Linked DNA regions of Arabidopsis thaliana. The protein of the gene in region 2 interacts with the protein of the main gene of each other region in a pairwise test. Each region holds a gene or a part of one and is shown on either strand. Other genes may lie near its edges.

What was found.
Region 1: the proteins of AT2G17190 (region 2) and PEX12 interact in a two-hybrid assay, tested with the Arabidopsis thaliana proteins (one study listed by BioGRID).
Region 3: the proteins of AT2G17190 (region 2) and TED3 interact in binary tests that used the Arabidopsis thaliana proteins (3 or more experiments, as listed by UniProt).

Annotation. Positions count from the first base shown.
Region 1 is NC_003074.8:1,182,591-1,192,493, reverse strand, and holds PEX12 (peroxin-12), read right to left. Parts: upstream 6,011-9,903; 5' UTR 5,854-6,010; coding exon 5,746-5,853; intron 5,648-5,745; coding exon 5,542-5,647; intron 5,453-5,541; coding exon 5,304-5,452; intron 5,208-5,303; coding exon 4,958-5,207; intron 4,763-4,957; coding exon 4,653-4,762; intron 4,411-4,652; coding exon 4,336-4,410; intron 4,217-4,335; coding exon 4,130-4,216; intron 3,864-4,129; coding exon 3,556-3,863; intron 3,472-3,555; coding exon 3,453-3,471; coding exon of another isoform or gene 3,400-3,452; 3' UTR 2,986-3,399; downstream 1-2,985. Other genes in the region: AT3G04470 (Ankyrin repeat family protein), read left to right, coding at 641-2,179, 2,270-2,653; AT3G04450 (Homeodomain-like superfamily protein), read right to left, coding at 6,230-6,517, 6,652-6,721, 6,818-6,878, 7,021-7,066, 7,146-7,222, 7,315-7,510, 7,602-8,192. UniProt on the Arabidopsis thaliana protein: Component of a retrotranslocation channel required for peroxisome organization by mediating export of the PEX5 receptor from peroxisomes to the cytosol, thereby promoting PEX5 recycling.
Region 2 is NC_003071.7:7,475,715-7,486,387, reverse strand, and holds AT2G17190 (ubiquitin family protein), read left to right. Parts: upstream 1-4,697; 5' UTR 4,698-5,026; coding exon 5,027-5,255; intron 5,256-5,632; coding exon 5,633-6,379; intron 6,380-6,674; coding exon 6,675-6,877; intron 6,878-6,961; coding exon 6,962-7,075; intron 7,076-7,177; coding exon 7,178-7,233; intron 7,234-7,622; coding exon 7,623-7,651; intron 7,652-7,795; coding exon 7,796-7,885; intron 7,886-7,967; coding exon 7,968-8,116; 3' UTR 8,117-8,123; intron 8,124-8,231; 3' UTR 8,232-8,543; downstream 8,544-10,673. Other genes in the region: AT2G17210 (Tetratricopeptide repeat (TPR)-like superfamily protein), read left to right, coding at 1-990; DSK2 (ubiquitin family protein), read left to right, coding at 1,298-1,526, 1,639-2,403, 2,698-2,930, 3,007-3,120, 3,301-3,353, 3,746-3,774, 3,947-4,030, 4,107-4,255; DAZ1 (C2H2-like zinc finger protein), read left to right, coding at 8,741-9,553; AT2G17170 (Protein kinase superfamily protein), read right to left, coding at 9,950-10,030, 10,114-10,305, 10,402-10,487, 10,557-10,626. UniProt on the Arabidopsis thaliana protein: Binds and presumably selects ubiquitin-conjugates for destruction. Prefers multiubiquitin chains rather than single ubiquitins, with a binding affinity for 'Lys-48'-linked ubiquitin chains.
Region 3 is NC_003070.9:30,015,128-30,024,711, reverse strand, and holds TED3 (Pex2/Pex12 N-terminal domain-containing protein / zinc finger (C3HC4-type RING finger) family protein), read right to left. Parts: upstream 4,969-9,584; 5' UTR 4,769-4,968; coding exon 4,679-4,768; exon of another isoform or gene 4,675-4,678; intron 4,607-4,674; coding exon 4,493-4,606; intron 4,420-4,492; coding exon 4,260-4,419; intron 4,184-4,259; coding exon 4,047-4,183; intron 3,947-4,046; coding exon 3,846-3,946; intron 3,631-3,845; coding exon 3,513-3,630; exon of another isoform or gene 3,053-3,512; coding exon 2,886-3,052; intron 2,671-2,885; coding exon 2,556-2,670; 3' UTR 2,226-2,555; downstream 1-2,225. Other genes in the region: SGB1 (Major facilitator superfamily protein), read left to right, coding at 391-484, 578-731, 985-1,128, 1,385-1,458, 1,561-1,649, 1,731-1,845, 1,946-2,131; ENODL7 (early nodulin-like protein 7), read right to left, coding at 5,495-5,868, 5,959-6,163; FHY1 (Haloacid dehalogenase-like hydrolase (HAD) superfamily protein), read left to right, coding at 6,526-6,740, 6,807-6,882, 6,948-6,999, 7,080-7,340, 7,440-7,527, 7,605-7,725; AT1G79780 (Uncharacterized protein family (UPF0497)), read right to left, coding at 7,856-8,071, 8,143-8,278, 8,571-8,782. UniProt on the Arabidopsis thaliana protein: E3 ubiquitin-protein ligase component of a retrotranslocation channel required for peroxisome organization by mediating export of the PEX5 receptor from peroxisomes to the cytosol, thereby promoting PEX5 recycling.

The DNA.
Region 1 (9,903 bases), on a different chromosome or scaffold from region 2:
GGGTAGTTCCATATTTCTCCCTTGTTGGTCGAGCGAGACCAGAAAATTCGCAGAGAGAGAGAGAGAGAGAGATAGATCTGAGAGTAGTGGTGGTGGCATTAATAATGGCGTAAGTGGAAGAAAGGAACCTAGCCGTTAGATCTTCTCAATCGCTACAAACATTCATTGTTCACCGATCGATTCTCTCTCTTTCTTCTTCCCCATTGCTCCTTCCTTCGTACCCCTCTCTCTGTCTTTTGAGGTTTCCGGGTCGGGTTGGTGAGAAAACTCCAGCGGCTTAACGGATCTTCCACTGGTAGTTTTCTGTTCCTCACAAGGAAATCGAAAATTTGATAAAGCGAAAGTGAAAAAGGCGTGTGTTTTCTTTGTAAAGGCTCCAACTTTTTTGATGAACAGCTTGTGCTTGTTGTGAAGGTTGTTACTTTTTGTGTATTGGAATTTGGGTTTTTTCTTTATGTTCTGAGGAGGAGAAAGGAGGAAGCTTTCTTGAATTGGATTCAAATTTGAGCTCATATGGTGAGTTTCTAGGGTTTTGTTTGTGATTCCTGGAAGAATCTGATTCCTTTTCTATTAGGGTTGGAGAGAAGTAAAGCAGAAAAGCTTTTTTGTTTTGGAGCTTAGTGAGTGTTGTGGATAAACAATGGAAGATTACTCCAAGTATACTCATAGTCCTGCTCATTTAGCTGTTGTGCTTCGGGATCATGCTGCTCTTAGGCGAATTGTTTCGGATCTTCCTCGGTTAGCTAAGGCTGGTGAAGTTACTACTGAGGCTGAGTCTATGGAGTCTGAGTCTCGTGCTGATTCTGTTTCAGCTGTCATTGATCGCCGTGATGTTCCTGGTCGTGAAACTCCATTGCATCTCGCTGTTCGTCTTAGAGATCCTGTCTCTGCTGAGATTTTGATGTCTGCTGGTGCCGATTGGAGTCTACAGAACGAGAATGGTTGGAGTGCGTTACAAGAAGCGGTTTGCACAAGAGAAGAGGCCATCGCCATGATAATTGCTCGGCATTACCAGCCTCTTGCTTGGGCTAAATGGTGTAGGAGACTTCCTCGGATCATTGCGTCAGCATCTCGGATCCGTGATTTTTACATGGAGATCACTTTTCATTTTGAGAGCTCGGTCATTCCGTTTATTGGCCGCATTGCTCCTTCCGATACTTACAGGATATGGAAACGTGGTTCAAATCTCCGTGCTGATATGACTCTTGCTGGTTTTGATGGGTTTAAAATCCAACGGTCAGATCAAACATTTCTCTTTCTAGGGGATGGTTACTCGTCTGAAGATGGTAAAATGTCCCTATCTCCGGGCTCGTTGATTGTTCTTTCGCATAAGGAAAAAGAAATGACAAATGCTTTGGAAGGAGCTGGTGCGCAACCAACAGATGCTGAGGTTGCTCATGAAGTGGCTTTGATGTCTCAGACTAATATGTATAGACCTGGAATCGATGTAACTCAAGCTGAGCTGGTTTCTCATTTGAATTGGAGACGGCAAGAGAGAACCGAGATGGTTGGGAATTGGAAAGCAAAAGTTTACGATATGCTTCATGTGATGGTGAGTGTCAAATCTAGACGGGTTCCCGGTGCAATGACTGATGAAGAGCTCTTTGCGGTTGATGAAGAGCGAACTGCTGTAACAAATGGTGCAGAGACCGACGGCTTTGAAGACGTACTAACACCTGAGGAAAGACTCCAATTGAATTCCGCGCTTCAGACTGGAAATTCCGATGCCATTGAAGATGAAGAGTGTGAAGTTACTGATCAACAGGAAAACGGAGCTCTCAAGGATAAGAAGGGCTGGTTTGGTTGGAATAAGAAAGGCTCAAACACTGAAGATACAAAGCTCAAGAAAGGCTCAAAGTCTGCGCCAGAAGACGGGAACCAGAAAGGGAAAAGCCAGAAATCTTCGATGGTATCTGATCATGCAAATGAGGATCATGGAGACGCAAAGAAAGGAAAGGAGAAGAAGAAGAAGAAGAAAGGTGTTGCCGGAGATGAGGTTAAGCGTGAGAGTGAATACAAGAAAGGACTAAGACCGGTCTTGTGGTTAACACCGGACTTTCCTCTTACGACAGACGAGCTTTTACCGCTCCTTGACATATTAGCTAACAAGGTTAAAGCCGTTAGGAGACTCAGAGAGCTTCTCACAACTAAACTTCCGCTAGGCACATTCCCTGTAAAGGTATAAATCTTTTTCAATTCGTAAATTGTATGTTACTGATATGATTGAATCACTCTCTAGGGTTTATTCTTATCGGTAATTTATGTGCAGCTCGCCATTCCCATTATTCCTACGGTTCGAGTTGTTGTTACTTTCACCAAATTTGAAGAACTTCAGGCAGCTGAGGAGGAGTTCTCAACACCTCCTTCTAGTCCGGTATTTCATGATGCAAAGTCGTCTTCTTCAGAGAACTCATCACCATCATGGATCTCATGGATGAGAAGTGGCAAATCAAGTGACAATGATAGTAACCGTTACAAAGACGAGGCTGACCCTTTCTTGATACCTTCAGATTACAAATGGATCGATTCAGCTGAGAAGAAACGTCGAATGAAAGCTAAGAAAGCTAAGAGCAGGAGGAAGAAACAAGCGGCTACAAAAGCCGCTGGTGCTAGTGACTCGGGTACCCGTTCAAATCATGTAGCCGAAGAATGATGAGTCCGGAGTAACTGAATCATTGCATTCAGGTTTTGCTTTGGCTGGATTCAAAGATGTTCACTTTTTGAGCCATCATTGTGGCCTTGAGAAAAGGCTTTTGGTAGTGTTGTTTATTGCTCTTGTATGTCATGTTATTTCTGAAATTCCTTTAACAAACATCTTTGTTCTCTCTTAATGATTAATCCTTTTTTTCTATTCGGTTCGATTTTGACTCCTCTTACTCCCCCAGCATTCCTAAACCATTTCTGAATCGACTTTGAAATTTTTGACATTAATCAGAAAACTTTTTCGGTTCAGGAGCAAAAGTGCAAAGCTAATTCAATAATGAGCTATGAAAGTTTGAACTCCAATCATCTCTTCCATCCTTTTCTTTATAAATTTGATCAGTATATAAATTTTATTTTTCCATCCTGAACAATAATATCATCCCCCATTGTGCAATAGACAACAATTTCGAAGCTGAAACTAAGAAAGAAAAAAGTAACCATTTGTCTGCCTTCTCTGTTTTAATCAGAATCAGCTTTGATTAGGATTAACACAGCTTTCTTTCAATCCAAGAAGCACTTGATCCCAGACTTGGTGAGCTCTAAATGAAAGCTTATCCATATATATATATAAAATCAATTGGGGTATTAGTGTCTCACTTGGCAGTCTTTTAGCTCTTCTGGTTCAGACTCTAACTTGCATGGGAGAACGATGATGGAACTCTCACTGTTGGCTTAAAACCATTAAATAGACTGGTCCTAAGTGTCCTGAAACAACCTCCTAATCTGATCAACGCTGGCTGGAATCAATGTCACCGGACATCGCTTGTACTGTGTGATTACCATAGAAGACGGATATAAGCTAATACCAAGGTTGGGGTTTGGGAATAGAGAGTAATGATTTGGAGAACTCACCTTTGAAACATACTTAAATACGCAAGAATAGCAGAAAACAAATCCAGAGACAGTGACAACTGATGGATTTGCACGTTTTTGCAAGCATAAAGCACAGAGGGATCTGTCTGGAGGTAGAGGGATTCCTTCTTTGGCCATCTGTTACAGAAAAACAAAAACTTTGACAAAGTCGACTGAGTGATGTTTACATAAGTTTCAGATAATGCTACCTGATTGATTACCTTTGGGGCTGGAGGAGGTGGAGGTGGAGGGTACACTGTTGGAGCTGATAATCTCTCTTCAGCGGATTGATACCACCATTCCATCATCTACAAAACCAAAAACACACGAAAATGAGCTAGATGTTTAGGTTCAACTAAATGATTATGCGATGAAAAATCTACCGAGAGTCAAAAACGCCATAAGTATAGCAATAAGCTTTATGGATTTAGCGGTGGCTGTAGCATACAAAATCTAATCTAATGTAATTTAAGCTTAGGACCTTCATTTCCTAAAGGAACCTACTTCTGCTGGAAGCTTTTAAGACAGTGAAATAAGAGAAGTAACATAAACTGGGACATTTATGGATACTTACTTTGAAGATAAAAACTGCTGCAATTAGACCGGTTTGGGCATAGTCAAGCACAGCATATGAGCAGCTAAGAAGTGCCCCTTGCACCGTCTAATTCAATATTCAAAACAATACTGTCAGACGTTGGATCACTAAAGTGTAAGCAGTAGTAGGAATCAGCCTATCTCATTCCTTAGGTTACATGAAGTTTAAGAAAAGTGAAATCATACTTTTAACCATGGAGGACCACGAAGTCTCTCACGCTCATGATTCCGAATCTTTGAAATCCTTGAGGATGTATCCATCTATCTTGGCATCAAAAAAGGTAAAGACGAAGAAAAAAAGTGTGTTAAGACATAACACATGTAAATTTACCACTTTGAAAGGTTTTTATGGGTCAGTCAATGATGGTATAACATCTTGCAGCAAGATGTATGTAGAATTTTAAATAATACCATCCAACAAAGCCAAAGCGCCCTAATTCTATGGGGTGCATAGTAAGATAATGGTGACACGAAATTTCAACCAGAAAGGAGGAAGTTAATACCAGTTCTTGCCCTGTAGCTCTACAAACTTGAATCCCAAGAGCTTGTAGCCCAAGAGAATAAAATCCAGTAGCGTCCAGCAGATATAAGAGCTGGTAAGTGAACGATAATCCTACACAGAGGATCCCATATAAGCTCATTATAAATGATACAGATCAAATAAAATTCTCCATGCCAATGAAACTCAGAGATAGAAGTCTACGCACGAAGCTAATCAGTGTAAACTAAGAAGTGCTCGTAATTATGTTAAAGAATCATCAGCTACTATGCAGTCGAAATGTCGATGCTCACATAAATCCACAATTACCTTCACTTGATGCATGTATCCAAGGATAGCAGACAGCTATAAACTTTTTAATTTTGGTAGCTAATTGTACTCGAACAGAAAGCTCTTCATTCCCACTAGGCTCTCTTGAAACAATTGAATCATCCCCTGTGAAGAAGTCAGCTTCATCAAATCCTTGATCCTCTGCACCCCATAAACTTTCCCGGAGCCTAGCCTCTCTTTCTTTATTATATATAGCATGCAATTTTGACTTGAAATACGGTAACACAACCTAGAAAAAGGCAGTAACCAAGCTTAAAGGCATAAGCTTTATGCTTTCAACATATACGCATTTACAAAGTTATAGCATTTAGGAAAGAGTCAGTACCAGAAACACAACAGAAAGGATTCTCTGACGCTTCTCTAAACCAGAATGTTGAACTTCTTCGCTAGAATCCTTCCTGGCACTGTCTTTCCTCAATCTCAATCTCGCTGATTTCCTCCTTAAACCATACAATGATTCAGCAAAGGAACCATCTGAAACAATTCACAAACCTCTAACTGTTATAAGCAAAAAAGTTCCAGTACACTCTCACACAAAACCTAAAACAGAATCCAGAAGCTACCTGTGGTTCGTAAGCTGTGTCCTTCAAGAATAAGCATCAGAGCAGCAAAGAATTCATCCTCATAGTCTAAAATCTTATGGAGAAACGATCGTCTCAAAGCAAAAACCTAAAAAATCACGAAACAGCAAACAAATATAAGAATCATACAGATAAGTACCAAATTTCAAAATCGAAAAGAGACGTAGGTAGAGAAGGGCATTATACGCCGAGGGAATAGGTGAGAGCGGCGCGAAGGCTAGCAGGAAGTTGCTGAGCAGCAGCCATCTCAAAGAAGGTGGGGCGTGTGCCTTCACCTCCCACCTGAAACAACATCTTCTTCCTCCTCCTCTAATCTCTTCTTCTAGTTAGTGATAGATAGTTTAATAAAGGAGAGACCTTTTGTTTTTGACTGAGAGATTGAGACCTTTAGCTTCTCCAGAATTGCAGAAATTGGTAAAGAAGATAGAACAGACGAAGAAAAGACGCATTTCGAGAGATCATTATTAATTACGTCATAAATAAGGATGTTCTTTAGCCACGTCATCTAAATTGCTGACTCATCAGCCGACAACATTCCAACTCGACAGTGATTTGTCCACGTCATCTCCATTAAGAAGAAATTTTCATTTTCTTGCTGCTGTGATATTTTCAATTTTATATACACAATTACATATGTTTGCAACATCTTTGGATCATACTCATGAGATGTCTAATCTTCTCTAACCCGTTTTCTATTACTAGTCCCAGAAGTAGATTCACTTTGATCCATTGTGCTAGAACCATTCTGCAGTTTCTGAGTTATTGATGGTTCTGAATTGGTTGCTTTATGGAGGAAAGGTTGTGAAAGGTTTGGTGATGGAGCTGAAGGGTCAGCTTCTGGCATTGATGATGAGGAAGTAGAGTCTTTTTTGTTCTCTTGCATCTTCTGTTGTTTCTCAATCATCATCTGAAGATACCGACCTTGTTCTTCGATTTGTAACTGCAGTGATCTTTGGATCTGCATTGTATTAAGACCAATATAAGATCAAAATCACCAGCTAAAACCAAAAACTAAGAAATCAGACAAATGAAGAGGAAAGGACACTGTTTTGTTTTATAAAAGCTTCTTTTAGGCAGTTTGAATTATTATACCTCAAGTTGCTCGTGGAGTTGTTTTTGAACTTTCATCTGTAACCGGAGAGCTTCAGTGATTTCAATGCTCCTGAAGAAGAATAAAAAAAAAAAATCTTAGATATGAAGAAATATTATCCTAGGTGATACTTAGTCTGTTCTGACAGAGAAGTAAAATGTTCCTTACGTCTTCAAGTCAAGAGATTTGATATCTTCAATGGTTTTCAAATTCTTTACTAGAGGTTCTTCTGTCCAAGAAGAAAAGCTGATTATGTATAAAGACGTGTTTCATCACACAAGAGTCTTTTAAATGCCATTATGTTTCCAAAGTATAATAAGCTTATGTGAAATATTGAGAAGACAGTTTGAATCCTTAGATGCCTCAAGTACCTGTATCTTTGGAAAGCTCTGGTTTATACCTTGCAGTTCTGTATTTCTGGACAAGCCAATAATATAAAGACGTTTAAGATGAGCTGTAAGCATACAAACCGAAAACATAGATGGAGAATAGTAACCTGCAAATGGCTTTTGACATGATAAACGGTCAACCCAGGGCTATTGATGAGCTTCAAAACAGCCTTAGGGGTGGCTCCTGTGGTTTGAAATTATAAGCCAAGAGAATAATAATAAGTTGTTCAGCTAAATTTTGCAGGCATGAGAAGGAAAAAAAAAGGGCATACGCACGTTCACTACCACCGAGCTGATTGATAGCTTCGACAAATGCTTCATGAAGTTCTGGTGTCCAACGCATTCTTTGCTTAGATGTCATTGAACTAGCTGGTGGGCTTTTGGCATTAAACGGCTCCATTGATGGATCCACCTGATGCTGATTTCTAAAGACGATCTCTTGCCTTGCTATATCAGAAGACTGTGTTTCTATCTGTAAGACATTATCAGAGTCAGTCTTAATAGAAGAATCATATTTAGCTGAAATAAGCGTAGAGATTCATATTTAGCTGAAAGAAACGAACCTTTGAATATAGATTGAGTACATTAGGATCACCTAGAAGCTCCGACCAATTTGGTTCAAGACTATCATCAGAGATCAACTGATCCGCCCAGTCTGGCCATTCGCATTTTGAAAGCACTTCCTTGGATGAAACCATAGTTCTGCTGCTCGCTGCTTGTGGATCTGGAACAGGAAAATCGAAGAAGCCCCGAATCTGGTCTGAAGACCAAGTCATAATTTTCTGTTCTTGAGGTTGATTGATCAATTGCAAGGAATGTGTTTCCACAGGGCATTCCTGCCTCTGCCCTTCACCAGAGACGTGAGCAACAGTAATTCTGTCTCTTGGCACGGTAGAAACAGATGGCCGTGCCTGGGAGGAAGATGAAACATAGACACCATTGCAGAATCCGGAAGAAGATGAAAACAAATTCCCACCAGAACTACCACCAGAGACCAGAGGAAACACCTGACAGGGGACGGGGTTGTTATTCATCGATTCCTGTCCTGATGAAACACACAAAGTGTTAGGAAAGTTATTGTGGTATCTCTCTTCTAGAATTGTAAAAGATGAAGATATAGCGGATGGAAAACCAAAATCGCTAGCAAGTGTCATTGAACAAGTGCAGTATTGAGAAGATAACAATAGATATCAGAGACTTAGCACAAAAGGGCTATTTAGCTTTACAAGGAGTGTTACATAGAAGCAATATGAGAACTCACAATCACTAAGTTATATATACAGAAAATGACTCTGTATGAGTGAAAAAATTCCATTCGCCTAGTTAATATCCTATATGTATTTCCCTTTCAAAACTTTCCAAAGGAATATTCTTCACTTTTTGTTTTGCCTTTGGTCATAAAAAAAACTCTTAGCTTTCATTCACTTTGTTTCCCTAAAGTTCTTCAACATATACCGCAAGAGGAAAGATACAAACGAACAAGAAGAGACTCTTTGATTCTCTATCCAAAACTAAACTTGTTTCAGCCATTAACCAAGAGAAACTATCATGGAGGTGACAGATGCATAAAAATCAAACAGAAACAAGATATAGAATCAAATGCAACGGGAAGGATATTAACACGCAATTTGGCTAAAGAGGAAAGCAATATGGCTTTTCATAAACCACAGGGACGTGCAAGGATGAGAGTCACCATGAGCACATTATATCATTCTAATCAACTCTTATCTAATAGAAACCTCATCACTTCAAGGAACAAGAATCTTACAGAGAAACCAAGTCGAAAAAGACAAAGAAAAAAAAACAAATTCGTTTACAAAATGACTTGACCATTGAATGAAACGATTCTAAAGATCAATAACATGTTGACATCTCATGATTGTTCTTTCCATGAAAAAGAACAAACCTTTAGCTTATAAAAACCAAAAACAAAACATAATCTATAGTGAACCAATTCCAATCAACTGGAAACAATAATATAACTGGGCAGATTCAGCAAAGCTAACCACTTTTAAGTTGAGCTAAAGTTCAATCAACAAATCAAAGGGACAAGTAAATGAGTGTTTATTACTTCCTCAATCACAAGAAAATATCTAGTCACCTAAATTCGCAGAACTAAACTTGATTATTCTAAAAACCTCGTAAAACTATCAGCCAAGTCTTTACATAACTCAGCCAAGATGTATGGTGGTTTCTAAATCAAGTGGAGTCTGCGATACTACCGCCTCCACAAATTCTTCTTTCTCAAGCAGCTGCATAACAACGGAATATAAAAATATACTCCTATAATCTTTGATTATCTTCTGACATTTCACACACATCATCCAATGCTTCGTTTTGGTAAAATCAACAGGGTTATAAATGCATTTTGATTTGCTATCTTCTGATATTCACATCACAACAGTTTAAACATTTTTGATCAATTTGATTTATATGCTAACGCATACTCTTCTCTTCCTACAACTTTAGCAATCTAAGTGAAACAATGTTCCATATACAAAGAATGGATTCAACCCCATAACTGGTGCTGGTAATCTTAACCATGTTAACATATAACAGATCTTGCGTAATAGATGGAAAACTTACATGAGATCAACAAGCATCACTATATGGTTCAACAAAAAACCGGAAGCCTTTACATTACATGTATTGAATAGACAGATAGCTGATCATTAGTACACGGAGAAGAACCATACCCAGGATAAAATCTGAGTTTCACTGTAGAAACCAAAACCATCATTAGTACATACCTCCTCGTGATCTTTGGTTCTCCCTTGTCGCTTAAAAAATCCACCACTGTACCATAAGAAGGTCCATTCAGATCATCATTTAGGCAATGATATGGTCTTCTTACATCATTACTCC
Region 2 (10,673 bases):
GATTCGATGACGTACAAGGATGTGGTGTCATGTAGCACAATGATCTCTGGATTAGCCCATGCTGGCCGATCCGATGAAGCAATCTCAATCTTCTGTCACATGAGGGATACGCCCAATGCTATCACCGTCATAAGTCTTCTTAACGCATGCTCAGTTTCAGCGGACTTGAGAACTTCCAAATGGGCACATGGGATTGCTATCCGGAGAAGCTTAGCCATCAATGACATCTCAGTTGGTACCTCTATTGTTGACGCATACGCAAAATGTGGTGCCATAGAAATGGCGAGAAGGACTTTCGATCAAATCACTGAGAAAAACATCATCTCTTGGACCGTGATCATTTCAGCATATGCTATTAATGGTCTACCGGATAAAGCATTAGCATTGTTCGATGAAATGAAACAAAAAGGTTACACACCAAACGCTGTGACATATCTGGCAGCTTTATCAGCTTGTAATCATGGAGGATTGGTAAAGAAAGGTCTCATGATCTTCAAATCAATGGTAGAAGAAGATCACAAACCTTCATTGCAACATTACTCTTGCATTGTAGACATGCTTAGCCGAGCTGGAGAGATTGATACGGCTGTGGAACTTATCAAGAATCTTCCAGAAGATGTTAAAGCAGGGGCTAGTGCTTGGGGAGCGATTCTTAGCGGTTGCAGAAACCGTTTTAAAAAATTGATCATTACCTCAGAGGTAGTAGCTGAGGTTCTTGAACTCGAGCCCTTGTGTTCTTCAGGTTACTTGCTTGCGTCAAGCACATTTGCTGCAGAAAAATCATGGGAAGATGTAGCAATGATGAGGAGGTTGGTGAAGGAGAGAAAGGTTCGGGTCGTTGCGGGTTATAGCATGGTTCGTGAAGGAAACTTGGCAAAGAGGTTTTTGGCTGGAGACAAGTTAAGCCAGAGTGATTCTGAATTAAATGATGTCGTTCAGAGTCTTCATAGATGCATGAAGTTAGACGATACTGCAGGACCGATAAACTAAAGCCCTTTGGGCCTCAACGAAGCAGATAAATGATATTATTATACGATGCCGTATGTATTCTCGGATCCGGGTGAGAAAAGGAACGAACCGGGTTTTGTTTTTGACCCGACCCGGTCCCTTCGATCCGTTCTCTGAAGCAGAAGTCTTCTTGTTTTGTTCTCTTCGATCCATTTCGTCAAGCAATCTACCGAACCGACTCAGAGCTTTTGAGTCTTCTAAATCTCTATCGAATTTTTCTAGGGTTAGGGCTCCTGATCGATTTCGCGAGCTCTGCGATTATTTTAAGTATTAGGATCCGAAATTAGAAATGGGTGGAGAGGGAGATTCAAGTCAGCCGCAGAGTGGTGAAGGAGAAGCTGTGGCTGTGAACATCAGGTGCTCTAATGGCACGAAATTTAGTGTGAAGACGAGTCTCGATTCAACGGTGGAGTCTTTCAAAGAGTTGGTGGCTCAGAGCAGCGATGTTCCAGCTAATCAGCAGCGCTTGATTTACAAGGGTCGTATCCTCAAGGACGATCAAACTCTCCTCAGCTATGGTAATCTTCATCGTTTCTGATTTATTCGTGTGGGTACTTTTGTTGTTCTCGTAGATCCTTATTGATTGAAATTCTTGTGGATTCTATTCTCTGTGGAACATGTTATACCTAGGTTTGCAGGCTGATCACACCATTCATATGGTTAGAGGCTCTGCACCTTCTTCAGCACCACCTCCTGCTCCGGCCGCAAGCCAAACCACTGCACCTAGTGTTACTCGAGGGGTTGGTTCAGATAATAGCTCGAATCTAGGAGGAGCGAGTCCTGGGGAATCTTTGTTCCCTGGGCTTGGATTTAATCCTCTGGGTGGTGGAAATGCTATGTCTGGGTTATTTGGAGCTGGTCTTCCGGATCTTGTGCAGACACAGCAACAACTAGCTCAAAACCCTAACATGATTAGAGATATGATGAATACTCCAGCCATCCAGAACCTTATGAACAACCCAGAGTTTATGAGGAGTATGATTATGAATAACCCTCAAATGCGTGAGCTTGTAGATCGCAATCCTGAGCTTGGTCATGTGCTCAATGACCCAAGCATCCTTCGTCAAACTCTAGAAGCGGCAAGAAACCCAGAGCTTATGCGTGAAATGATGCGGAATACTGATAGGGCTATGAGTAATATTGAGTCTATGCCTGAGGGATTTAACATGCTTAGGCGTATGTATGAAAATGTCCAGGAACCGTTAATGAATGCTACCACTATGTCCGGGAATGCTGGAAACAATACAGGCTCCAATCCATTTGCTGCTCTGTTGGGAAACCAGGGGGTCACTACGCAAGGAAGTGATGCTTCTAATAATTCTTCGACACCAAATGCTGGAACGGGGACTATTCCGAATGCAAATCCACTTCCTAATCCTTGGGGTGCTACAGGTGGTAAGTAACTGCATTTTCATCTTCTAATCTCCTGTCGATTTTATTTGTCTTTTGAAGGATGCAGTAATATTTTATAAATGAAAAAGTGGCTTGTTTATAAGAAATGGACGTTACTGTTCACTGCTCTGCTTCAGGAACAATATTGTGTATAGTAAATTGGTGAGTTAGTGTAGTTACCACAATTTGTTGTTATGTGTAGTTTTTGCATATGATTTTCTTGGCTTATTGTTTCTAATTTAACATTTACTCATAATACACTAAATATAATTGAACATATTGTGGGCTACTTGACAGGTCAGACAACTGCCCCTGGAAGGACAAATGTTGGTGGGGATGCGAGGAGCCCTGGACTTGGTGGCCTTGGTGGTCTTGGAAGCCTTGGAGGCCTTGGTGGACTCGGTATGCTTGGAGCGGATTCACCTCTTGGTGCGACTCCAGATGCTTCTCAATTGAGCCAGTTATTGCAAAACCCAGCCATATCGCAGATGATGCAAAGCGTATTTTCCAATCCACAATACATGAATCAGGTAGGCCTAGAATGATCTGAACTTAAGAGCCTTTTACCATTGTGAACATATATTAATTGTTTTCCCTTGATTCCAGCTTATGAGTCTTAACCCACAACTCCGAAGCATGCTAGATTCGAATCCTCAGTTGAGGGAAATGATGCAGAACCCAGATTTCCTTCGTCAGTTTAGTTCTCCGGAGATGATGCAGGTTAGTTTGTCCCCTATTGTCTGTATGCATATGAATTTTTAACATGGTAGTCTCTCAAAAGAAACATTTCTTTGTATCTAAGCTATTTTCAAGTAAAGAAGTTTCTTTTCTTTTTTTTTTTTGGGACAAAGTAAAGAAGTTTCTTAAACCTAATGTTTTCTATTGTTTTTTGGTCTTCAGCAAATGATGACTCTACAGCAATCACTATCTCAGAATAGAAATACAGCCAGCCAGTAAGTTTTGTTAAAACCCTTCGTTGTTTGGATTTGCTTAAACAAAGTTGAGCATTTACATGTCCTTTACATATTGTTTTTTGGGTTGTTTAGTGTTTAGACAATGTTGTAACTAGCTAAAAAGATTGGTTGTGAACGATCTCTATAATAAGAAAAGGATTGAACCATGACTAATGCAGCAACTCTTGTATGATTTACTGGGCTGATCACTAGTAACATCTATCAAAGAGGCTATAAATAAAGCATTTTAATCGTTGGAATACACTTGAATAGGGCTCATAACATTTTGTTTGTTTTTGATTATGCCTTTTAGCATAAGCTATGTGTGTTAATCTCCATATTTTGATTTTCATCAATCCGCATTCATGTTCCCAAATCTATCTTCTCTGTAGGGATGCGGGGCAAACTGGTGCTGCCACAGGTACTCTTAAAGATATTATATGTATTTATTCTACAGTAGTATAAAGGGTTTAGTTATGTTACGTAGTATAGCAGCTACTCTTTAGTTCTCTTTGCTTTCATGTATGTTTTATTTTAGCAGATATTGTATCGTATACAAGTTAATAGTAGAATGACAATACTGATGGGGACAGGAAATAACGGGGGGCTGGATTTATTGATGAATATGTTTGGCAGTCTTGGTGCTGGCGGCCTGAGTGGCACGAACCAATCCAATGGTTAGAGACTACAAATTTTTTTTAGCTTACGCATCTGTTGTGATGGTTCCACTGAAACTTGTCTGTTTGATTCCAGTTCCTCCTGAAGAGCGGTACGCTACTCAATTGCAACAGTTGCAGGAAATGGGATTCTATGACAGAGCAGAGAACATTAGGGCGTTGCTTGCAACCAATGGTAACGTTAACGCTGCTGTAGAACGACTCTTGGGGAGTATCGGACAGTAGCATACAGGTTCATGAACTGATGTCTCTCCATCTGGCTTCTCAGTTATAGAATAAACAGCTTGAATGTGTGTTTTTCAGTAATGATATATTCATCGAATTCATAAAAATTTATATATGATAGGATCGTGAACTTTGTTGATAGAAAAGCCGCATCAATACGGTATTTGTTATCAGTGGTCACTCTTCGTCTTTAACTACCCTTAAACCTATATATCTTGGGTGTTTATCTTTGATAACTTATTTCAAGTTGTTACAACATACAACATCTGTAAATGTTTATAGACATCAAAGTGAAATTGAACCCATTAAATTTTTGGTTCCTTCTGATCCGGTTCAAAGGTTAAACCAAATTGCCCAAAGAGAGAAGTGGCATGTTGCAAAGGAATATCCAATTAGTTGATTCATCATCTTCAATTAGATTCAAGTTACAGCCAATTCCTTCCTGAACTATATACCAAATGCCTCAATTTAGACCCGACCCGGCCCAATCTTACCCAGTAAGAGTCGTCGATACGTTCTCTGAAGCGCAAGTCATTTCTGGATTCTCATTTAATTGGCCGTTCGGGGCCAAATAACTCTTTAATTTTCTGCAGTCTCATTTGTTATTCGACCAAAAATAATTTATATCCCTTTCCTCAAGAAATCTTCAGAACCGACTTATTAGAGCTTCGAGTCTCCTCAAATCTTCTTCTACGATTTTTTCTTCTAGGTTTAGAGCTTTTGATTCTCCGATCAATTTCGCGATTTGTTGAACTAGGATCTGAAATTAGAATGGGTGGTGAAGCAGATTCGAGGCAGCCGCTGACTGCTGAAGGCGTAGCTGTTGCCGTGAACGTCAGATGCTCCAATGGCACGAAATTTAGTGTGACGACGAGCCTCGATTCCACGGTGGAGTCTTTCAAAGAGTTAATTGCGCAGAACAGCGATGTGCCGGCAAATCAGCAGCGTTTGATTTACAAGGGACGTATCCTCAAAGACGATCAGACTCTCCTCAGCTATGGTAATTTTCTGATCATTTCGTGTTTCATTTCTGTTGTTCCGTTGCTTTAATTTGACTGAAAATCTCATAGGGTTTCTAGGGGGTTGGAACATTGGATTTATGTTAGGTTTTTACAGAAGCATGGATGATTTTATGAGTTTTGATGTATGCTTAATCCTTCTATGGGAAGAATAAGGAGATGTAGTTAGTGATACGATAATTGATTCATACCATTCTTAGAGTTCCTAATGTTCTCATGATCATGTATCTTCTTGGGATGTATATTTTCTCCATCAATGGCTGTTGTTGATATGATTGTGTTGGATAGTTTCCACGTTTTATTGTTTTGCATCATGAGCCTCAATGTTTCCTTTCTCTGTGGACCATTTTATATATAGGTTTGCAGGCTGATCACACCGTTCATATGGTTCGAGGTTTTGTGCCTTCTTCTCCTTCTGCTCCCGCTGCAAATGCTGGAAACCAAACCACTGCTCCTCAAGCGGTTGGTTCAAATGATAGCTCAAACCTCGGAGGAGGTGAATCTTTGTTCCCTGGCCTTGGATTTAATCCTTTGGGTGGTGGAAATGCTATGGCTGGATTATTTGGATCTGGTCTTCCTGATCTTGAGCAGGCACAGCAACAACTAGCTCAGAACCCTAACATGATTAGAGAGATGATGAATACTCCAGCCATCCAGAATCTTATGAACAACCCAGAATTTATGAGGAGTATGATTATGAATAACCCTCAAATGCGTGAGCTTGTAGATCGCAATCCTGAGCTTGGTCATGTGCTCAATGACCCAAGCATCCTTCGTCAAACTCTAGAAGCGGCGAGAAACCCAGAGCTTATGCGTGAAATGATGAGAAATACTGATAGGGCTATGAGTAATATTGAGTCTATGCCTGAGGGATTTAACATGCTTAGGCGTATGTATGAAAATGTCCAGGAACCGTTAATGAATGCTACCACTATGTCCGAGAATGCTGGAAACAATACGAGCTCTAATCCATTTGCTGCTCTTCTGGGAAACCAGGGGGTTACTACACAAGGAAGCGATACTTCTAATAATATTTCGGCACCGAATGCTGAAACGGGTACACCTAATGCAAATCCACTTCCTAATCCTTGGGGTGCCACGGCTGGTAAGAAACTGTATTCTCATCCTCTTAATTTCATATGGGATTTTACTTGTAGTTTAAGGTTGAAATATTAAATATAAAAGCAAGAGTGGCTTGTTTTTAAGAAGTGAAAGTTTATGTTTACCACACTGGTCAGGAATAGTATTGATTATAGTAATAATTGGTGAGTTCATGTTCTCACAGTTTGTTGTTATGACTAGTTTGTCTATGAATAAGTTTCTTGGCTGTTTGTTTCTAGTTTAACTGTTACTCGTAATGCACTAAAGATTTTAGAACATATTGTGGGGCTACTTGACAGGCCAGACAACTGCCCCTGGAAGGACAAATGCTGGACTTGGTGGTCTTGGTGGGCTTGGAGGCCTTGGTGGACTCGGTATGCTGGGAGCGGACTCACCTCTTGGTGCGACTCCAGATGCTTCTCAATTGAGCCAAATACTGCAAAACCCCGCTATGTCGCAGATGATGCAAAGCGTACTTTCCAATCCACAGTACATGAATCAGGTAGCGCCTTCAGTAATCTGAATTTTAGACATTGTAGCTATTGTGAGGCTGTCTTTAATATTTTAATATTTCCTTCATTTCCAGCTTATGAGTCTTAACCCACAACTCCGAAGCATGCTAGATATGAATCCTCAGTTGAGGGAAATGATGCAGAACCCTGATTTCCTTCGCCAGTTTAGCTCTCCCGAGATGATGCAGGTTAGTTGGGCCCATGTTGTCTCTCCAGATAATTATTTTTATATCATTCAGTAGTCAAATTTCTCCGACCTAATGTTTTCTATTGTTTTTTGGTCTTTTTAGCAAATGATGTCTCTACAACAATCACTTTTCTCTCAGAATAGGAACACGGCTGGCCAGTAAGTTTGGATACCCTTTTCTGTTTTCTTTAGTTGGAACATTAGTTGAGTAGGTAATGTCCTTTATATATCATAATAGGATTTTGGGTTGATCTGTGTTTAGAAAATAGTGTCACTAGCTAACCAGGTAATTCTCTCGGTGGTGAACTATCTTATATTAAGTAATAAATGGGTTGAATCATTAGTAATGCAGCAACTCTTGTATGTTTTACTGGGCTGATCATTAGTGACCTTTATCAACGGCTGTAAAGTATTTTAGTCCTTGAAATAAACTTGAATAGGAGCATAAAAATTTTCGTTCTTTTTTGGTTCTTTCCTTTAACATTTGATATCAGTGATCTTGATTTCCATCAACCTCTATTCATGTTCCCAATCCATCTTCTTTGTAGGGATCCTACGCAAACTGGTGCTGCGACAGGTACTATATTATCTGTAATTGAAGTATGAAGGCTTCAACTAGTTCACTTAGACAGTGTGCTTTTTTTTGTTCTTTTGCTTTACTTTAATCGTATATTCATTACGTTGCTTATTGAGTAAATCACTACTATGGAAATATTTATAGGGACAGCCAATAACGGAGGACTAGATTTATTGATGAATATGTTTGGCAGCCTTGGTGCTGGCGGCCTAAGTGGCACAAACCAACCCAATGGTTAGATTCACTAGGGGCTATACTTTGATTTCTTATATATCTATTGAGATGGTTCCACTGAAACATGTCTATTTGATTCCAGTTCCTCCTGAAGAGCGATTTGCGACTCAGTTGCAACAGTTGCAAGAAATGGGATTCTACGACAGAGCAGAGAACATAAGGGCTTTGCTTGCAACCAATGGTAACGTTAACGCTGCTGTAGAACGACTCTTGGGGAGTATTGGCCAGTAACATACAGGTTCGTGAACTGATATCACTCCACTCTGGCTTCTCAATTATAGAATAAACAATGTGTTTTCTTTCAGTAATCTAATTTATGGAATTCGTATAACTACATTTATGATAGGATCGCGAACTTGTGGATAGAAAAGCCGCTCATCGATACACTATTTGTTTTCAATGGTCATCTTCTTTCCTCTTTACCCAATCCCCACAACCTTTTTTACATACTTTGGGTCGTCTGTTATCTTTCAGATTCTATTTGAAGTTGTTACCTCGTACATCTGTAGAAGTTGATTTCGAAATGTGGAATGGTTACATTTACGTTTTCTTATCTCCATTTTACTTATTAAATATAGCTGTAGTGACGTTGATAATTTGTGATTGAGCGTTAAGTTTTTCATTCGAATAACAAAGATAAATACAATAATAATTGAAAGAAAAACAAAACTTATGAGGAAAACAAAAAAAGAAATGTAAATCCGACAAAACAGGGAGAAGTAACTGCTAAGAAACCGTCGATGAAAACTAACTTGTTCTTCTTCTACTTAACCAACCATAACTCCCACTCTTCTACTTTTTTTTTTCCTCTCTTTTAGTTTTTCTGTCTTCTCTCTAGTAAGAGACTCAATAATAATGTCGAACACTTCAAACTCCGATCCCAATTCCGATATCCCATTTGCTTCCTCCAATGTAACTCTTCCTAGTTACAATCAAAACCCAAGAAGAAAACGTACTAAACTCACCAACAACGAAGTCGGTTCTTCTTCGTCTTCTCCAAGGCCTAAACCGGTCACGCAACCGGACCCTGATGCTTCACAAATCGCACGACCATGTACTGAATGTGGTAAACAATTCGGGTCACTGAAGGCACTCTTTGGACACATGAGATGTCACCCTGAACGTCAGTGGCGTGGCATCAACCCTCCTTCTAACTTCAAACGTAGGATCAACTCAAACGCTGCGTCATCATCCTCGAGTTGGGATCCATCTGAGGAAGAGCATAACATAGCCTCCTGTTTACTAATGATGGCTAATGGTGATGTCCCAACCCGTTCAAGTGAAGTTGAGGAACGGTTTGAGTGTGATGGTTGTAAGAAAGTGTTTGGGTCACATCAAGCGTTAGGCGGACATAGAGCAACACATAAAGACGTCAAAGGATGTTTCGCCAATAAAAACATAACCGAAGATCCTCCTCCTCCACCTCCTCAAGAGATCGTTGATCAAGATAAGGGCAAGAGTGTGAAGTTGGTCTCGGGGATGAATCATCGATGTAACATCTGTTCTAGAGTGTTCTCCAGTGGTCAAGCGTTAGGAGGTCACATGAGATGTCATTGGGAGAAAGATCAGGAAGAGAACCAAGTCAGGGGCATTGATCTTAATGTTCCTGCGGCGACATCTTCAGACACAACGTTAGGTTGTTCCTTGGATCTTAGGTTAGGACTTTGATATATGATAACTTAAGGTTTTATATATTTATTGGGTATTTGGTTCTTTCTCTTAATTAACAAAAAACTCTCTCTGTATATATGTGTGATACTTTGTATGATGAACGTATAGGATTGTGGTATTGTATTCTATATATAAGTTAATTAGTTTATGAAATGCAAATAGAGTTATTTACTAAATGTCCAATATTCAAGAAATTAGCTTTATGAAGTTTAAAACGTTGAATCTTTTTCCCTATGTAAAAAGTTTATATTGTTTGATCATACATGTATATGTATCATGCATGGATTATGGTGTTTCTTCACAGTGTCAGTACACTAAGTGAGAAAATCAAGATTCTTCTTCCCTAAAAATGTTGCTTCGAGAAGAGTTACTTTGTTGAAGCTATTAGCAGATTCAGGGTGGAAGTTGTTGTTGACTCGAAGATGATGCCACATCGTGCTGCTTTGTTACTTCATGCATTTCAGAAGATGAAATCTACAAGCAAAAAGATTTGGTTTTATAACATGAATGCGAAAAATCTTCAGGGATGAAATTATTGTAACAGTAAGCCTCCTTACTTCTTTTTTAGCCTGCAAGGCTTTAAGTGTTGCAACAAGCTTTTTAGTGATGCCATTCTCTATATAACCCTTCCACTGCAAACATTCAGAGGCGAGTTTTAAAACTATAGTAGCTTCTTCTGTAGAGAACTTTCCCTTCAGATTTGGATCCATGAGCTCAGTGACATCCTTTCCATTGATCATCTCAGGAGCCTAGAAACAGAGGATAAATAACCACTCAGTAAAATGTAACTTGTGTTGCAAGAAACCAAGGATTCCACAAAGTCAAGCTTGAACAGAATTACTTACATGGCTCGGAGAAATTTGCAATCCAGTTAGCAGATTCACAAGGATAGTACCAAATCTGTATGTCACATTCCCAGTCCTCACGTTCCCTACAATGAGAATATAAAACATTACATTCTGATATGAATAGTCTGAAGATACAAGAGCGAATTGGTTACCTCCTTCTCTTCGATTGTAACGGATGATCTCTTTCACCAAGCCGAAACTAGAAAGACAGGCATCACCATCCTTCAACACCAGTAAAAACAGTTTAGCATCCTTAGATCACATGACAA
Region 3 (9,584 bases), on a different chromosome or scaffold from region 2:
ATGTTGATAAGAACTCAAGGAATAGATGACTTAACAGCTTATATGGCCTGTAACTCTTCGAGGTTGAAATTATTGCAACTCTGTGCCATCTGTGACTTCCAAACGCATGGTAGTTCACCCTTTTTGCTTGCTTTAGGTGGCATGTTTGATCCCCGTTGTCTATTCCAAACCCACCTATATGCAATGTGAATCTCTAGTGCCTTGTTAAAATGCTGCAACTCTATAGGAACCACCTCATCTTTTGCTGCAAATTCATTAGTGATTTTGACATGAGAACCGCCTTTGTAGGGAAAGAAATCCTGGAGTTTCTAAGCTACTAGCAGATCACATGCTTTGGTCTACTTGGCTGAATTACTAGTTGAATAGGTTTCTCTTTCTTGATTGGTGTAGGTGGCGCATATGTTTTTGGATATCCACAGTCCCAGCTGCAATGCTTGCTGTCTTCATGGAACTCTGCGTGGAAAGTCCTCAGTGGCTTTTTAAGGTTACTGTCTAATTTTAACCCGCATAGCTCTTAAAGACGTTTTGATTTTTATAAACCATTTCTTTGGTTGATTCTTTTTCTGTTTAACCGTAGAGGGGAAGGGCAGCTGAAGCTGAAGCTGTGTTTGAGAAGCTATTGGGAGGGTCGTACGTCAAAGCTGCTATGGCAGAGTTAGTGAAGTCGGATAGGGGAGATGACGCCGATTCAGCCAAATTGTCGGAGTTGCTTTTTGGACGCAGTTTTAGAGGTATGTGTGATCTTTAACCAACAAGATTGGTGAAAATGTGTGGCATTAGTTCGATGTCAAATATCACGGAAATATTAGATCTAGATTTTTATTCATCAAAAAGTTGAATCATTTGCACGGAAGGTATGTTAGGTGGCTAAACTGGATCCATAGCCAAAAAAATGACATTTTCATTTGCCAAAAACATACATATAGATGATGTGTAGCCTCTTAATTACCTTCATTTTTACGTTTAAATTTTCTCCGATTGCAGTGGTTTTCATTGGATCTACCCTTTTTGCTTTACAACAGTTGTCTGGGATAAATGCTGTGTTCTATTTCTCATCAACTGTCTTCAAGAAAGCTGGTGTACCTTCAGCCTCTGCAAACATATGTGTAGGAGTTTGCAACCTCTTAGGTATTGAAATGTGACTTTTTCTTGTACATTCTACTATGGCTTGAAAGGCCATCATATTCATGATAAGCTAGATAAGCAAGTAGGTGAATGCAGTCTTCCTGAATACAAACACAACATTAGGAACAGTAAACTAATCACTGGTTTAAGTGAACAACCTTCCTCTTACCACAAAGATGATGATCTGAAATCTTTCCTTTCAACATGTTGATGATCTGTATTTAAAACGAATGTGAGCATCATTCATACTCTTGTACAGGATCAACTGTTGCTGTGGTTTTGATGGATAAGCTGGGGAGAAAAGTGTTGCTTATTGGGAGTTTTGCGGGCATGGTAATTGTTGAGGCAAAAAGTGCTATTTGAATCAAACTTTACGCAGCTAATATTTAATAACGCTCCATGTATGTAGATGTAAATGTTTATCATCTTTAACAGGCAGTATCGCTGGGTCTCCAAGCAATAGCATATACTTCGCTTCCTTCGCCCTTTGGAACCTTGTTTCTCTCGGTTGGAGGAATGCTGCTGTAAGTTTTCTATCACAACAACAGCACTGGAAAAGGGGGATGTTTTATTTTGATAAACTAGGGGTGTGATTACGAATGCAGGTTTGTGTTGTCGTTTGCAACTGGAGCGGGTCCTGTTCCAAGTCTTCTCCTGTCTGAGATATGCCCTGGTCGACTTCGAGCAACTGCGTTGGCTGTTTGTCTTGCCGTTCACTGGGTATGCCTTTTTTTTTTTTTTTTTTTCTCTTTGTGGACTTTTTTAGGAAATCGATAATGTTGAAATAATAATAAGCTTGGAGAATTACACGCTACAACAGGTTATAAACTTCTTTGTCGGGCTGCTGTTTCTGAGAATGCTGGAGCAACTAGGTTCGGTGCTTCTAAATGCAATATTTGGGTTCTTCTGTGTGGTGGCAGTCATCTTTGTGCAGAAGAACGTGGTTGAGACTAAAGGAAAGAGCCTACAAGAGATAGAAATCAGTCTGCTCTCTTCCACCCAGTGATTGATCTCTTTATTCTGAGAATTCGTATTATTCTTCTGGCTCTCTTTTTTTCCTTGGAGAGACACAAGTAACGTGTACCTAATATGGAAGTAGGAGTGAGTAGTAAGTAGGTAAACAACATGTAAGGAAATGGATATTATTCATTCGAGTATAGCCAACGTTTCAACTGATTTTGTAATAAACATAAGACCAAACTTCATTCAACAATGGTAGGTTCTCAACTCATGTACAGAAGTGCACCTATCTAATTTTTTTGTTGCATCACATTCATGATGTTCCCTTATTGTATAGTCTGTCTGCAAACAAACACCTATCAGATTCTTCTCTGCTTTCGGCTGCTTGCCTTGGCTTTTTACACTTCCACTATTGCATCTGCTTATTCTTCAAGACTTGGTGGCATGACTCAACAATTTGTCACCTCCATTCATTTGCCACTTGAAACACCTTCCCGTTGTATGGCAACCACAGGCTCGTTACATCTAAGACACCGGAACGATGCTGCTGAAGCGCAGCGGGTCCTTATGCAGTAGTAACAGTACCTGCGACAAGTCAATTCTTTTAAATGTATGTAACAACTACAGCACATACTATGAATTCAACAAGTCAATAAAATCACTTCTGTGTCTTCTCCAAAGTCAGATACACAATCATGTGAAATTTTTTGCTTCTAGTACAATCAGTTATAGTACATGTCTGGGGAGAGAGTTAACTACTTTATTCTGATCCAAAACTTTTGCACAGAAAAATACCATACCTGTGCTGACAAGGCAGAGCTATAAACGGAATTGCAGGATCCACTTGGCAAATAGGGCAAGTCACTGTATCCTCTTTAGTGCTTGAGGACTTGTCCTTGGCAAATGGACTAAGAATATTCTTAACAGCTGAAGAGTTGAGCAGCGGGAGAAGCAACAAAAGCATTTCCTGAATATCACCAAACAAATTTAAAGCTGAATGCCAAAACAGAACCAGGAAATCAGATCCTAACATTACGTTTCTGGTAGCAAGTCTAAACAGAATGTTTTGATCTATTGAAGGATCTGAAAGAGAGAAAAAGCGACAAATACAGTGTTTTGAACATAGACAAGGTATTTGTACTCCAATGAAACTGTTGAGTCACAGGATCTACATAGTTCAGAATTCCAGATACGGACACAATATGTTTTCAGCTTTTAACAGCTCAAGTTCAAGCAGCAAAAGTGTTTCTTCCAAAGAAAAAGTGAAGGTAAGCTGATAGATACTATCATTCAAGAAAATGTTCGAGACCAGCAAGTATCAATCATAGGCCAGAAACCATCAGCCAAGGATGCTACTCAGAACTGACAGGTTGCCAAACTTTTAAATTGATGTTGAACTAGTTAAGCAACACACAGAGAAGACCTACCGAAAATTCATTCCACACAAGTTGCCGATTCATGTACTCGAAGCTGACAGATCGGTTCATATGGGGACTCCTATAGACAAGCCTAGCTTTTAAAGCTTTTTCAATGAGGTTCCTATACCTGGATCAAGAAAGAAAAAGAAGAGTAGCGGAAGTGAGAATCATCAAGGTATTTCTGTTTGTGATTTTGGTTCTTGTTTCGATATTTCACTGTGAACTCAAAAGTTACCAATGAACTGAATCAGATTTTAAATGGTCATAAGAAGTAACTGCACTGCAGTGTGGTTTTATCAGGATAAGTAGAGGAAATGAAAGAGTCCATGTACCAAGTTGTACCTTCCCGTATAAAGAAATGACAATAGGTTAAGAAAAGAAGCAGCTTTGTAGATGCCTTCGATTCGTTGTACGAGGGTCCAAAGTCGCCTTGCCAATGGTCTCTACAAGTCAAAACAAGGAGAAAAGAATCAACCATAGCGATGGCGTGAGGATGACTGCAAACGGGAGAAAAAAAGAATAAACCATGCTCCTCATACAGACCTGCTCAGAATCACCCCATCTACGGAAAGCAGAAAATGACTGCAAACGGGAGAAGAGGTACTGACCACCAACGGAGGCAACGCAGTACCAAATCTTTTGGGGAGAAGTAAGTCCGGGTCCTTCCAGTCCTGTTCTGACTATACGAGAGTACAAGAGTGATTAGAAAAAAAGGGTGACAGAAGAAGAGTGTTTAGAAAATAAAATAAAAAATACCTTTCCCCAAGTGCTGAGCAACGACTCCTCGTTCATCTCTGTATCTAAGATTCATGAGAGCGTTTCCGGGGGTGGGTTTGTCAACCCAAATAGAGAATCTCCAAATGAGAAACTCAAGGAAAGCATCAAGCTCTGGTTCGTATTGAAAGAGCATTCCTGGCTAATAAAATGCCAAAGAAAGTAAATGGCTTAATAAAATGCCAAGGAAAGCATCAAGTTAGCTCTCTGCTCACCTTCATCAGAGTGAAAACCTTAACGAGCTGTTCCTTCAACATGGCTGACATTTCCACATCTAGTCGTGCTGCGTCGAACTGATTCACTCTAGAGATTGCAACCGGTATAACTGACTGCCATCAAAGACCACATATAATAAGCAAACAAGCCACGACACAAACAAGCATCCCTGAGACAGAACCTACCCGGCGGGAAGCGAGAAGAGACTGCGATTCAGGAAGCAAGCGCTGGTAAGAGCGGATCCAAGCATCGTCTGCAGGCGTAGACGGCGTCATTGGCGGTGTAGCAGGGCTAGGGTTTGTAATTCCGGCGATAGACAACAAGGCAAAGTTGTTTATTGATGAAGCCCGACGAGGGTCTTACCGTCTTTTCCAATCTACAGCTACGTTGTTTGTTTTCTCTCTTTGTCTCACACTCACACCCACAGAGATTCATCCATGTCTCCTCCTTTCTTCTTCTTCTTTCAAAATTGTTTAGTCTTCTTGATTCACCACTTTTATCAGATTATTATTTTGTCTTAAAAGGCTCATATGGTATTAAAGACCCATATCACCAAAAATAGGCCCATAGCAATAAAAAGGCCCATATCTGTTACAAACTCTAGGGCCCGGTTCTATTAGTACTAACGACATAAAATTATCCTTATTGATGATCTCTTAACATTACTCTTAGTTAAGAGATATGTCTTATATCTAACAAAATTGTATTAAAGTCTCTTATTTATGAGACTTTGTTAATTATAAGCTATTATAAGACTGTCTCTTAACTTAAGAATTGTTTTAAGAAACTATTAATAACGATGCTCTTGTGTAGTTTGTTGATAGATTTTTTATTTTTTTTCCACAGTTTGTTGATTGATTTGTTTTGAACAGTGAAAAGTAAAACTTATAATAAATGTCAGAGAAGAACATAAATTGGATTATACCATAAGGGTTCGATGAATGAAACAAAAAGATGAAGAAAAGTAAAAGAGGAGAAGAACTATAAGGGAAACAATTTGACTAATAAGAAATGAAACGAAAGCTAGCAATGGTTAAGAAAAGAGGAATAAGAAGACAAGCCGTAGGCAGGGAGGAGGCAGCAGAAGATGCGGATGCGGATGCGTAGGGAGAGGCAGAATTAGAAAGAGGCGACATGGATGGAGGCATGGAAGCGTCATGGTCATGGTGTTGGTGGATATGCATGACTTCTACGATGAGACGCTGGCCGCTGGTGCAGTGCTGGTTGGAGCCGCTGATGAAGTAGAAGAGACCAGGACGATCAAGGTCGAATGTGCTGTTTCCATTGTCAAAGGCTGTAATGGGATCGCTGCCGTTGCAGTGGTAGAAACCCCATTTGTCTACCTCCATCACCGAGTCCTTGTCGTACACAAACGCTGACATATTTTTGATTAGAAACCAATCAATTATTACCGATCATGAATGATAAAAAAAAGAAAACACAAGTTGGGAACAAGCTAGCTCACAGAGTGAATCACCGATGTGGAAGCGGTTGCTGCTGGCCCAGTGGCTGTAAACCGCTGAATCATTCTGGAGTGGGACTCTCCACCCGAACTCGTCTCCAACCTTGAAATCCCTAGGACCTTCCGCCGCCATGGAAGCCACCACAAGGGCACAAATGCAGAGCATTAGTGTTAGATTACAAGTAGATCTCATCATCATCATCATCATCTTCTTGTTCTTTTGTAAGTATATAGTATGTTTGAGAGGAATTCGTACGTAGCTTTGATGGTTGTGTGTAAAAATGAAGGTGGCTGGCTCTGCTTTATATAAACAAGGAGAAGGAAAGTGGCGGTTGAGCTCTCCGAGGCCGAGGAGTCGTGGAGATGAATTTGAAACGGTTTTTATTTAATTCATTCATTCTCCTTCGTGCTGCAAGTCATGGGCCACTTCTTCTTCACCACGTCATCCTAATTACTGACGTGGACCAATCACCTTCTCCTCTGCGATTTTCTCTCTAAACGCTGCGTTTCGACTCCCCTGTTGTCATTTACAAATGATGATGATCGGAACTAGAAACTAGGTAGTTTCTGATGGCGGCGGCGGCGATGCACACATCGGCGGAATTCATCAATCTGAAACCCAACATGTGGAAGAAGAATCCTGTTCGGGCCTCGGGTTCTTGCTGTCTGGGCAGCAGCAGTGGTGATGAAATCTCTCGGAAAAGGAAGCTTCCGATTCTCCTCTTCGACGTCATGGACACCATCGTCCGTGACCCCTTTTACCAGGACGTTCCGGCCTTCTTCGGGTGAGAAAGTGAAATCCTCGAATTTATTTCTCGATTCATCAATGATAAACTGAGGTTGTGGATCAGAATGCCAATGAAGCAACTACTAGAGTGCAAGCACCCGATGGTCTGGATCGAATTTGAAAAGGGTTTGATTGATGAGGTGAGGTACCACCACTCTTTCTTTCTTTTTTTCTTCATATTATCTCCTCTGACTTTTGGTTTTAGGAGGAGCTTGCTAGAAACTTCTTTATAGATGGGAGGGATTTTGATTTGGAAGGTGAGATTGCCATATAGATAGATAGGTAAATACACAGAGAGAGGGTTTCCTCGTACCTATTTCAATCCTCTTTATTGCAGGGCTTAAGGAGTGCATGAGGTCAGGTTACTCCTACTTAGATGGCATGCAAGAGCTCCTTCAAACTTTGGCAGCTGACGACTTCGAGATTCATGCTTTCACTAACTATCCCATCTGGTTTCCATCCCTTGCCTTTCACTCTTTGAAACGGAGCTTCATGTCTCTTTGTTTACTCTTGTCGTGTTTCCATAGGTACAACATTATCGAAGACAAGTTAAAGCTTTCTGCCTACTTATCATGGACGTTTTGCTCCTGTATTGCTGGTACATCACACATCTCTTGCCTCTTTTTACTACTTATTGCTTGTCAGATCCAAACCATTCCTACTACATACAAAGCTCCTCATGTGTTATATCTTTCAGGGAAGAGAAAGCCTGATCCAGAGTTCTACCTCGAGGTTGTGGGACACCTCGGAGTTGAACCTTGCGACTGTATATTCATTGATGACAGGTTATAACATGAACTCAATGCCTTTATAACTTAAAAGAAAGAAACCATTTTGATCTGAAGGAGTGTCTGATACGCAGGCCAACCAACGTCAAGTGTGCTATAGAGATAGGGATGGGTGGGTTATGCTTTGAGAATGCAGATTCGCTCGCTAAGGATCTCTCAGATCTAGGGATCAACGTCTCTGTACCCAAATTATGATTGTAATTTCATCACAACGCATCATCTTAAATGTATTGCATCAGAGAAATACTCAAAAGAGAAATACATTGTTTTTGGGATTGCAAGTAGAGTCTTTGTTGGATTATATAAAGCAGCGAAAATATTGAGACTAGGGAGTGGAGAGCACAAGGACAGTAAAGAAGGAAGAGGAAGCGAGGAAGATGAAGGAGAGGAAGACTAAGAGGAGAGACAGGGCGACATGATTGCAGAAAGAAGAAAGGGTCTTGCAGAAGTCGGGGAGAGGAGTGTGCCTGATGCCGGTTTTGTTGAGGTTGGTAACTCCGGAACCGGCTGATCCAGCGCTCATCATCAAATAACAAAAGAGCTGCGTGCACACAGTAAATCAAATGGGTTACATTCGGAAGAAAAGGGAATGGAGAAAAGGAGACGAGGAACCTGATCGGAGGTGAAGCAAAGCCAAGCTTGGAAGCGGGAAGGCGTGATGGGAGATCCGGTGACGAGTCTGTAAACACCGAGGCAGAGCTGTAACAGGGAGTAGAGCACGGTCCCTGCGCATGCCCCCACCACATACCTTAACACCAAACAACTCTTTCTTAGTGAGATGAATGAAATATACACTATATATAATCACAAAGTTTAAAACTAGCTAGGACACACAATAATGTCATGTTGTTGTTTGGTTCACGGATGTGTTTCTGTTCACCGGAATATCTGTCATCCGAACACACACATTCTGTTTTGCTGCTTTTCTTTTATTATAATATATATATATGCATTCAGATAAAAAGAAAATTCTAATTGCTATGTCTGTCCCTAATTATAATGCTCGTAAGAAGAAGAAGACGAAGAAGAAGAAGACTGACTGGTAGGAGGGAGAGAAAGACCAGTTGGAGGAGAGAGTGAGCTTGAAGCCGTAGATGTCTGCCACTCCCTCCTCAGTAGCGGTCAGCATCACCGCCATGGCCGTGGCTGAAGCAGCCAAACAACCTCCCCTGAGAGCCACCTGCACTAGCTCCTTAATTCCCTTCCTCCTCCTCTTCGCCACCACCTCTCCCCCTTCTCCATTACTCGTCATTCGAACCCTTTCTACGTTGTTTGTTTGTGTGATATGCTCCTGCTTTTTTATTTTTATAAAACTCACACACAAACTCACTCCTTCATTCTTTATACCACAACAAGTACTCTCTTTTTCTCCTCCACCTTTTCCGTGTTGCTGCTTCCTCCTGTTTCGCTCTCTCTTTTTTTTATACGACTTTGTATTTCTTTCTTTTATAACAAAAAAAGACGAAAGTTGTGAATCAAGCCTAGCTCATTCCTTTCTTATATATTTATTTATATGTAATTTAAAAAATGGGATGGAAAAATAAACATCTCTATTGGGGGACTTGTCTATCTCTATGTACATGAGCAGGTACAATCAGCGTGCCTCATGTTCTCTGCTTATTAAGACGCAAATGCCAAAGAACCCGATTTGAATGATATTTGTATTTACTTTCTCATATGTTTCACATTCTCCTCCTTATAACATCAATTAATATTTGTATGTACGTGGACGATAGGTTAATTAGATTTTTGAGATGTGATAGTGTTATAACTAATACTACAACAACTGAGAGAAGAGAAATTTGAGGAGTCACAAACTTAAATCTATATATCCGGAATTCAACGGAGACAGAATTTAAAGGAAAGGGGATACAGCCAAAGAAAAGTTGACACGTGTCGTCATAACAGATATACGAATAGGTCGTCCACTCGGCCGGGTGGTAAACTAGCGGTTATATATGATGAGTTCACCTGAATAAGAGATTTGCAAGAATGGACCCATCATTGATCATCCCATCCCACATCCATTCTATTCCTCTGAATTGAAAATTTAT